Schizosaccharomyces pombe: one gene and its partners. The gene in region 3 interacts genetically with the main gene of each other region. Each region holds a gene or a part of one and is shown on either strand. Other genes may lie near its edges. The genes, in order: spo3, vps5 and psy1.

Region 1 (3,600 bases), on a different chromosome or scaffold from region 3:
AGGTATCCATTCGCTATTGCTATTAAATCCAGTAAATTCGTTTTTTTGAGAGCTTAGTCCATCCAGGGAATCGTTAGACAACGTGCTTATTGTTGATGAAAGTGTTTCAGTCAAAGGACTGAAGGAGCCGTCGGCAGAAACAGCTGTAACTGCATTAATTTCTGAATCTCGCTTGTGATCAACCATAGATGGCTTTTTAATAAATTCAGGGGAAAGAAAATTTGTTTCCATTTGGGTTTCGTAAAAGTTGAAGCAGTTTTCACCGTTCACAATAGGAACCAAATTTACTGTTATAAGGGGATCAAGCTTATTTTTTTGAATCCTTGAAAATTTCCTGTTGTCGTCCAAATTTATCTGATGTGATAGATCATCCTGGATAACAAATGGCTCTTCTGAAAATAATGCTTGCTCCATATTGCTAGGGATGAAAGCAGGCTCAACTTCTGTAATTGAAACAGTAGGTATTTTCTTAAATTGTTGCTGTTTTTTCATTTCATCGATACCATTAGGTGAATAAAAAAAACGTTCTGTCGACAATTTACGACAAGCAATGTCTTCCTTACTTGACTTGATAGACGAAGCAGAGTCAAAAGAAGGGCATGCAGTAGGGCTAGGTGCTTGAAGATTTGCTGTGTCTCCCTCAACTGTTCTCCTAAATGGAGAATTAAGAGGTGTTAAGGGACGACATTCGCTATTAGGTGATGGAGTGTTTTGTTTGTCACAAGCAAACGCATTGATTTCTCCCCTTTCCAGTTCATCAATTGAAGAGTTTCTCTTTCGAGAATTAAAACTGAAAAGCCTTATTAAGCAATAAATGAAAATTCTGATGACAGACAAAATCCCCATTTTATTTTTGAATCAAATTACCACGAGGTAATGGCTTTTGAGACTAAACAAGAAAATATTATTTTATATAATATTTTCAAAAAGACTTATAGAAAAACTTATTATGAAACAGTATTCGTGGCAATTTTGAATACTTTTGATATAATAGGACGTAAACAATCGCTTTGAAAGAGATTAGAATAGGTCAGAATTAAAAAAATAAATAAATACAACACCCTAATAAGAGCGTTCCAGAGTTAAAGAAAGAAGAGTCAAAAAAATCGCGATATCGATACTAAACAAAATTGCGATCAGAAGAAGCACAAGGTGCCGAAAAAAAAATATTGACACAAGAAGATAAGAATGCAACAGTAATGATATTTGACAAAAATCAATCGGTAAAGAAAAGAAAGTTCGTACTAAAGGCTCTATATATACAAAAAAAATGCTGCTTTAAATATCACTCAAACCGAAACAATCGACTCTGTAAACAAACAGAAAAACAGTGCTTATTCGACAAAACATTCAAAAGTGTGGGGAAACTTTTATTAATCAGTTTCTTACTGGTTTAAACAAAATATAACAAGGCTGAGCAAAAAAAATAGGAGTCAAAGGCTTTACCAAAAGCTTGATGCGAGTGTTAACTCATTGAAGCGCACATCGTCCATCTTTTTTACTTGATGATCTACACATGATCATCTCTAACAATGAGGGAAGTTTTGCATTCAGATTATATGAGTTGTTTATACAAGTCGCATATGAACATTCTGAAACGAGGGTACGGAAATGATGGAATATACTTTAATAGTTTAAAGAGAGTTAAAATGAGTGCATCATCATATCTGGTATGCATTTTCGATTACAGGGAGAGGGTGGTACTGTAAAATTACCATTTTACAGCACGAAAACTCCTTTTGTTTATCAGTAGATTAAAAGGATACTCTCATTAGTAAGTTTAGTGGATTAAATAGTATTAACAGCATGTGCTTAAAAAATGTTGAAACATGTCGATGGCACTGTGATCGCATAATAATTCATTATGCTCATTGAAGTTAATATAAAACCAAAGGAAATCTAAGAGATTATAAGTCTCTTAGCTTTACTTAAAAGAGATTCTAAAATTCAAACTCTAAAGTGCGTCTGCAAACAGCTGTTTGCTGTAGCTGCTGGATTTATGAACCATGGTGAGGTGCGATTTGTAAACTAGAGAATGATAGCGAAACGCTCGTTAAAACGCCAATATCGCACTTTCTATGGACAGTATTATAAATTTGTAGTACAGCATCAAGCATAATATAATTCCCAGTAACTAACATAATGATCCCATTACTGTTAAATGTAATGTGTTATGGGTCAAAGCAAACAAGGCAAATTTGATAATGAACGAGATGATTTTTCGGTTCGGTTTCCAATTCGTTATTATAAACAGTCGTAACGGAGCGTCAAACCTTCATTTAGTAAAAAAAAAAAAAAAAAATTGACTAAGCAATACGAAATATCTATAGTAGATACATGCGTATTACTATTTTATATTATTGTTGAGCAAAGTGATAATGCAATAACGATGTTAACCGTAGTTCGGTAAAGACACATTCATACGATATTATATTCAATTTGTTTTGATTTACGATTTAGAGTTTTTAAACATAAGCAAACGAAGATCGGAATTAAACCAAAATAAATCTCGTGCCAAAAACAATAACTTCATAAGTAGAAGCTGTAGACACGTGAATAGAATATTTAAAGATGTTGTAATTGTTTTCCTGGGAGATTTCAAGAAGTGCTAACCGAAGCATGAGTAAACTAGGAGCTTTTCGATCACAGCAAGCAAGGCATGTCAGTTACTAGTCGTTGAAATTTTAGTAGGGTAAGCTTTAGCTTGATAGCGGTTGCTTGGAAAAAACAGTGTAACATTCAAAATCGGTTTCTTTTGAACCTGACAACATTACCGTAATAATTCAATCGCTCAATACGCCATTCGTGAAGGGTAGTAGCCTTTCTCTTACGAAGTTACTAAAAACTCAATTTTTTTTGTACCCTTAAGCGCTTACGAGTTCTTTTCTTCAACTTATTGCTACTCGAATAATAAATGTTAAACATATCTCGACTTGCTTTTCAGTTCGTTGATCCTCGCTATTTACAGTTTGTAACAAGTTAACTCGTCTATGAAGTCATCGATAGAAGGGCTTTAAAGTGTGCTATTTGCGAAACAACAGCAAATTTGTAGACTAGCACTTTACAAAAGTCTACTATCGTATTGCCGGTTCAAACTAAAATTTATGACCTCAGTTTCTACTAAATATAGTACGAATCATGATTAAATTGAGGTTAACAAAAGATGCGAAAGTAGGGTGTTGCTTCCTAATTTTTGGATTGTTAAACAACCTTCTCTACGTGATAATTTTATCCGCTGCCTTAGATTTGGTTGGCGCAAACGTTTCTAAGGGTGTGGTACTACTTTCTAATATTGTTCCTTCTTTGGCGTGCAAGTTGTCAGCATCAATTCTTCATGTTCATAAATTTAAGTTTGCAAAGAGAATCGGTTTTTGTGTTTTCATGTCCATATTAGGAATGCAATGGATTGCTTGGTCTTCCTCCGTCCCTTCGAAAATGCTTGGTGTATCTCTGGCAGCCATTTCATCGAGTTTTGGCGAAATCTCTTTCTTGCATCTATCAAGTCGTTATCACTCTGTGTCTTTACCGTGCTGGAGTTCCGGAACAGGCTTGGCCGGTCTCTTTGGTGCATCTTCCTATTTGGTTATGACTACATGGTTT
Region 2 (3,839 bases), 330 kb from region 3:
TGGTAAAAGTTGGTGTAATCCGGGGTCGTCACGTAAACTCGATAGGGCAGCATCACGGAGCTCAACATTAGTTTCATCAAGCAATGCACTGGTAATACGCTCAAAATAAAGCTGTAACTCTTTGGATAGCACATGTCGCACCAACGGTTTTATCTCAACGTTGTCCATCGAAGTGACACCGTTTCGAGCTTCTTTAGCAGCAGTTGAAGCACCTGGCATAACCCCTGAAGTACCCTTGGATGCCCATTCTCCAACTGTGTGATCTGAGGGAGTTGGATTTTGAGGAATGGCTGGCTGCACACCTTCGATGGCCAGCCAGTGTGCACTGTAAGAAATGTTTCTAGGGACTTTAGGGAGAGGAGCGTTTATGATTTTTTCAAAATCCACTTCCTCATCATCAAGGTAGTAAAGGGAATTTTGGCCTGCACCTACAGCGGCTTCATGAAATTCTAATGGACGAGAATTATTGAAGCCGTATAACGGCTCAACATTCAACGTCCGTAACGCTGAAGAGATATCTGCGCTAGTTAAAACAGTTCTTTTAGAATGAACCATAAACTTAGTGGCTTCCTAAATCAAATACTGTTAGAGAATTATGTTTAATGTCAGAATAAAGCAGACTATCTAGCAAATTGAAAGGCATCGTAAAAAACTAGCAACAATTTTTTAGTTATTTTAGCCTCTTCCAAAGAAAGTAAAATCTCATAGTCTACTTTCACGAAACCTACCTGAACCACCTGATGAATTCTATATTCGAGATCCATTGCAATAGCTGCTGCTGGTTCATCGGCAAGATTGCCAATCCCAAGCATTTCAGCAACATCTTTGATGGATTCAATATTCCATACTGTCAAGGACATGACTTGGTAGTAAGATGAACGATTTATGGATCAATGAGTGAATTGCATCTGCAGAGAAGTAGTTAACGATGTTAGAAGCAACTGCTTTATTTAACATACTTGTCAGCAATACTACACTACGCTATAATACACTACGTTGCGTATCACTATATGTCACATGTTCTAATTATATATCGTACCATGTATGATACGATATGGAGATTGATCTTAATGATAATCTATTAAGATCTATATTATCTGAATACTATAAATAGAGCTACTGCTGAACCTCGTTCCTCAGTTCAGTTATGAGCTATATTAGTGATAGGTAACATTATAACCCAGTTAATACAATACCTATACTCAGTTGCTACTTATACAACCTGTGTATTGTAATATAATAGATCACAAGGAAAACTCACCGCAGTTCTACGTATCCTTAAATCAGATACCAAACTGCGTAGCTTACAAGACAGTGAGCTACACTAAAATCGCTATTAAACATTACGTTACGCATCAAAATACACTACATGGAATACCAATTAATCTCAATTTGTTGAACAATAGCAGAAGACTATATGTTTGTTTACTAAAACATCCATTGATATTGATATAAAATAGTAGTTAAAATTAGAAGTCTAGATTGAACAGAGCATCATTCTCAGTCCAGTTATTAGCTGTTACAATGATAAATATATTATCACCCACCACTCACAATACTGTATAACGCAATATACTGCTTCTACAAGCTAAATATAATTTAATGTAGCCTTAAAAGGAATTAGAAACTTGAATTGTTGACACTTATCTAGTTGCACCGCAAGTCACCCCGCATTGCTAAACGTATTTAACCATCGTTATTTTTCGCTAGTCGTCGTTGGGCTGCGCATCACCATTTCAGGCACGATTTCAGTGATCAGATCCAAAAACCCAACCGGCCACCATCATGCTTGGGCATAATATATATGAAGAAGACGATGCATTTAATCCATTCGCAGATTCCGTTTCTCCACTGAACCCTCCAAAAACCGACCAAGAGCCCTCAGCTGAAGGAGTGGAAGAAGAGTCGCCGAATGTTCAAGCTTCTCCACCAAAAACTCATATCTATACATCTCCTAGGAAACGAAGCGTCAATTTGAAATCTCTTCCGTTTGAAACGTTAACTTTGGATTCTGCACCTTTAGGTCCCTTGCAATTTTCTGATGCACCTTCTATGGCACCCGAAAACAACCGTTTGGAAGTTGGTTTAAATACAAAAATTAATCCGTTAAAAGGATCTAGTCCCGCTTTGAATGCAGATTTTTCTGCAAATAAGCCTTGGATCTCAGAAGTGAACTCCTTTTCCCCTTCTCCTATCGGAGCAACGGAAAATCCCACTATACCAAATTCAGAACAGACGGTAGATACTTTAGACGCTGCCTCATCTTCTGCTCCAAATTTTACACACACTGTCTCATCTGCCTCCTCCCAGAAGCAAGGTTCAACCTCATTAACAGATACGGAGAATCAGAAGGCGCACCCGGCAGCGGCACCTCAATCTCTTACCCCGTTTTACATCCAAGTTCATGACCCTCATACCGTTAAGGAAATCACTAAATCGCATACCGTATATTCGGTTTCCACTCGTTTAGAGGAACACAATCAACCTTCTGTTAGCAATGTGACTGTACAAAGACGATATAATGATTTTGCTTTTCTTTATCAATTGCTTTCTAATAATCATCCGGGTTGTATCATTCCTCCCATCCCGGAAAAGCAGGTTGTAGGCCGTTTTGATGATGAATTTATTGAACAGCGACGAGCAGCCTTGGAGGTAATGCTTCGCAAAATATCTGCCCATCCGGTTCTACGTGATGATTACTCATTTAAGTTGTTTCTTGAAGCAGAGACATTTGACCCTAGAATGACACATCGTACTACTCTCATTGAGAGTTCATCAAGTCCTTTGCGCTCAGGTCCCTCAACATCTGGTTTACTTGACTCATTCACCTCCGCCTTCCATACCTCTGGATCTTCTAAATTTTCCGAACAGGATCCAATTTTAATTGAAGCAAAGGATACACTTGATTCGTTGGAAACTCAACTAAAGTCGGTTTATCACGCGCTTCTTTTATCCATAGATCAACGCATACAGTTCGCTTCAGCCATCCATGATTTTGGCGAGGCTGTTGGAAATTTATCTTTAGTTGATTTAGAGCCCACCTTATCATCCAAGTTTGATGGTCTTTCCCAACTCCAGGTAGAGCTTCGATTTGTACAAGAACGTAAGGTTGCTCAAGACAATTTGACACTGGGCACTACATTGGAGGAGTACATTCGGTACGTGGAGAGTGCCAAAAATGCCTTTACTACACGTCAAAAGTTGTGGCAGACATGGCAATCTTCAGTTCAAGCTGTTTCTCGTGCTAAAACTCAACTTGAGAAATGTAAAAAGCAAGCGAAATCTCAGCAAAAATCACTCCCTTACTTGGAAGAACAATACGAAAAATATCGAGCAAAAGCTGCTGATCTGGAAAAAGAGTTTTCGGAATCAACAACTCTGTTAAAACGAGATTTGAGTTCTCTCACAACCAGTAGAGTTGATGATCTCAAAGCTAGTGTTGAAACGTGGTTGGAATCTGCAATTGAATCTCAAAAAGAAATTATTGAGCGTTGGGAATCATTTTTGGATCAATAACGACTCTAATTTTCCCTATGCACTCTTTTAATTTTTATGTTTTTCTTTCGTGTAATATTTCTATCCCATATTCGTATTAATGTATTTCCAACTACCGCTTTATTACTTTGCACTTCTCTAGCTGACGATTTCTATTCTATTCTAATTATTTTTTTGCAATTTCCCTTTTCGTCCATGGTACTTCATTACTTGAAAAGAAAATGTACCTTAAAATATTGCATTCTATCTACTAACCTTACAGCAACCCTACACTCCTTTGTAAATAAATAACTTGTGTATGTTTTTAAAAATTGTCTTTGTTACTCAAGCCTTTTTATATTTGT
Region 3 (3,839 bases):
CAGAACTGATGATGAACTTCGATTCCGTTCATATACGTATAAACACATAAACTGTTAAAACAATGCTGTTATCGTCTTTTAAAAAACCAAATAAATTTTGTTGGTTTCTACCAATATAAAACCCGAGAATGATGTAAAACACTGCTGGGGTAAAGAACGAAGCAGCATGCCATGAATAAACAAAATAACAATGCCAGACGTGTAGTCCAAATATTTTACACTGCAACTTAAGTAACGAGCGATGAGTGAAAATGAAAAGACTTTCCAGAGTCCATAAATCACAATCGGACCGTTCAAACGGGAAATATGCTAAAAAGGTAAACGTTTCAAAGGTGATATCTAACCGGCCATATCACTGCAGCATTTGAAAATAAATACATTTGCAGCAACTCAAATATTAAGTAAGGGTAGATGGGGAAACGGAAAGGTGTAGACAGGGATTGTAATAACGATCGCAGAGAATTTTGCAAGAGATGGATGAAAGGAAATGAAAATGAATAAGAATAACGTGGATAAAGGGTGAAAAAGGTAAAATTGTACAAACTATACAAGTCCAAGGAAGAAAGGTTTAAAAGAAAAGAAACAGAAAAAAAAGGGGTAAGCAAAAGGATTATGGTTAGAACAGTCAAGATACTAGAAGAATAAAAGAATATCATTAAAACCAAGTAATGAAAAACATGATTTTTTAAAAGAAAAAAACTTTTCATGCAACAAGGAAGAATGACCGTTGATCAATGTCTATTGCCAAGAACAGGAATCAAAACACCACATAAAACAGCAACGATTACACAAATGATAACAACACAAATACCAAAGCAAATCCACTTTTTCTTACGAGCTGCTCTAGCGCTCTTGATAGCTCTATCCATATGCTGAGTTCCTTCACCCATATTCGTGCGAACGTTAACAGCATCCGTTACAATTTTATCCACCATTGGTTCTTGCTCCTGTACCATAGTAGCCATATCCTGGAAAAGCTGTGCAAGTTCAGCAATGGTTCTTTCAATTCTTTTAATATCGGCATGACGCTCCTGGACTTCCCGTAATGCAGTGCGAGCTTCACCAGACCGATTTGATCGAAGCAAAGCCTGAGCAAATACTTGTCCACCATTTTCTTCATTTATAGCGGTTTGAAAATCATCTTCAGTAGCCCTGGGGTTGGCAATTTCAAGCTGCCGACGCATACGTTGTTCATATTGAGCACGATATGTCTTTTCTATTTGTAAAAAGTGACGAATTTGGTCCATAAATTTCTTTTTTACAGCTTCGGTCTGTGTTTTTCTGGTGGCTGTGTCATTATCGGGTGGCAGCTGCATATTTTGAGACTCTAATGACCGGATGGCCAACTGAACGCTAGTTTGGAGACGTCGAGTATCTGATGTGTAACCTTCTAAATGGCGAGTCGTAGCTGCAATATTTGCTTCGTCAATTTCTTGCAGCGATTGTTGATGCAACATCTCAATTCGACCGACATTATCTTCGATTTGACGAATGGCATCGCGAATATGATCGATCTCTTCAAAAAACTCTCCCATACTAAGAGGGATCATCTCCACTCCTAGTGTATAATCGTTTGCTTTATTCATTTTGTTATATTTATCTGTTTAAACCCGTTTTGTTGAACAAACAAGGTATAGATACCTTCTGTTGTTGTTGGTTAAAGACAAGAACGTTTTTCCTACTAAAAATAAAGAATCATACAGCAGCATTTAACGAATGTTTTCGCAGACAATGGTAAACAAAAGGCGGCTTAGCAACAACACACTGTTGAAAGTCCGCCAATCATAATCAAATCCGAGCTTTGTGTGACGTAGCAGTGTTTACTTTTTAATGTTGTACAATACAATCCGTTAAACTTGATATCAAAAATATACGCCTAATACTTAAAAATTGAATTCCAAGGAAGTTGGAGTTTGTTAAAATCACAATAGGATACTCTCCTCGTTATTTGGACTTGTATGAGGTACGAATAAGGAGTGAAGTTTTCTTGATATTCTGGTTGAAAAGAAAGATTTTTGCTGTAGTTTATTTCAAGAAATGCATAAAAAATATTTAATTGTTTTTCGTAGTTGATGGAGTTGACTGTCTCGGAATTAATCGTTCTTTTTTGTTTTTGTTTTTTAACACTAAAAGCAATCATGGTTTGAATGCCATTGGAAACGAGAAAGGAATGCTGAAAATTTTAGTTATCATTGTCGGTAATTTTTCTCTGATCTATACTTCTAGGTTTGAATTTGAAACAGAAGTAATCGATATCCTAAGTGATTTTCTTTGAGTAATTAAAAAGATAGTAACTATATACCTCAATATAGGTAGAAATATTTTGACATTAATGAATAAATTAAAATAGAAATTGTAGCCCCTCCAATCCCTAAGCTGTTATGGTTGAAAAGCAATTCGCATCATGTAACATTACAACGTTGCTAATGGAATAAAACAAAAGTCCTGAACAGAAATTTCAAATATTTTACTAAAGTTTTAAAGGTTTAGTAAATGGAACAATATTTTGATGGGACCAGGTCATAATGTATGGTATCGTAGATTTAAAAAATACACAAAATTTGATGACTTCAATGCAAAACATTAAACTCAGAGATTGGATGCACCAAAGAAGAAAAGAGACTATACACATATTTTGTAGTTTTAGAGGGGGATGGCAAAAAGGTATGAAGCATGTGTGTATACGGAAGCTCAATTACCAATCCTTTCTGGACTTCGTATAAAGTATATAATAGTCCGGATGAATTACTTTTCCTGATCTAAATTTTTTCTCTTGGGGAGATGACTCATGAGGTACAAAATCAAAATGATGATAGAAATTCAAGGCGTTTAAATTGGCGCTAAATACTGTCAGGAAAATATATTTTAGGTTTCGTCGATATGCAAGTATACTTGCATTTTTTAATAACCATTTCCCAACGTTCCTCCCTCGTATATGCTCATCTAGCTGTATCTCATATATGTATAAACAAGTCAGACCTGCTTCCACAGTGTCTTCAAAACTCAGAAATCCTACCAATTTTTTCGAGGTTTTTTCAAAAATACAAATATACTCTAATTTTTCCATCTCCATTTCCTTCAATTTCTCTGAATCATCCCATCCGAAGGAGCTTTGTCGATATAGTGCTTCCATGTTCTTTTTTACCAAATTGAAACATTGCTGAAGAAGTCCTTTTTCTAGATGATGATATATCTCCACCCAAACCCCTAAGTTTTTTAAAAAATCAACGTCTTCGAGTGTAACATTCTTGATTTCCTGGGTCTTCATACGTCTGGGTGAGTAAAAGAGGTATTGCTTCAAAAAATGCATAATGTTGTTAAGGTATCAATATCACATTACACTTTTAAAAACCAAAGATTGAATAAGGGTTTAATACATATCGAGCAAAATGCTATCATTTTTATTATTGTTGCTACAGCAAGCCTACTTAGTAATACACGATAACAAAAAATGAATATTCTTAATCATCTAATAATTCCTATTTCCAATAATCGTTTTAAGCCGTATCCTTTATTCAAATAACAGCAGTTGTATTAATTTAGAGCTTGACTTCTGATGAAACCGGAAGAGACCTTAAACGCAATATGCAACTTTAAAATATATATATAGTTTCCAAAGATAGAAAGAAACTTGCAAACAAAAAAAAACTTTTACAAACAATTTCGGGGTCATTAACGCGTATATTTCAATTAGCATGATTTAACTTCAAGGCATTTTAGCAGATAGATGATGCTCTAAAGGCATATTTGCTAAACCCACTGCTTGTGGATAAAAATTTGCTACAACTTGTAATTAGCAGAGCAGTAAAAGTTTTTTTCATCGTTATCAAGTTTAGGTA

What was found.
Region 1: of psy1 (region 3) and spo3, changing one suppresses a phenotype caused by changing the other (phenotypic suppression), as found in Schizosaccharomyces pombe (one study listed by BioGRID).
Region 2: of psy1 (region 3) and vps5, extra expression of one rescues a mutant of the other (dosage rescue), as found in Schizosaccharomyces pombe (one study listed by BioGRID).

Annotation. Positions count from the first base shown.
Region 1 is NC_003424.3:2,051,191-2,054,790, reverse strand, and holds the start of spo3 (sporulation protein Spo3), read right to left. Parts: upstream 1,994-3,600; 5' UTR 847-1,993; coding exon 1-846. Other genes in the region: btn1 (battenin CLN3 family protein), read left to right, coding at 3,139-3,600. UniProt on the Schizosaccharomyces pombe protein: Has a role in spore morphogenesis. Involved in the assembly of the forespore membrane.
Region 2 is NC_003421.2:700,822-704,660, forward strand, and holds the start of vps5 (retromer complex subunit Vps5), read left to right. Parts: upstream 1-1,775; 5' UTR 1,776-1,785; coding exon 1,786-3,516; 3' UTR 3,517-3,839. Other genes in the region: TATA-binding protein-associated factor TAF6, read right to left, coding at 1-570, 729-860. UniProt on the Schizosaccharomyces pombe protein: Required for efficient sporulation target of PtdIns(3)P in vesicle transport required for onset of the forespore membrane formation. Plays a role in vesicular protein sorting.
Region 3 is NC_003421.2:1,027,561-1,031,399, forward strand, and holds the start of psy1 (plasma membrane SNARE Psy1), read right to left. Parts: upstream 1,660-3,839; 5' UTR 1,587-1,659; coding exon 732-1,586; 3' UTR 1-731. Other genes in the region: putative histone N-acetyltransferase Naa40, read right to left, coding at 2,696-3,268.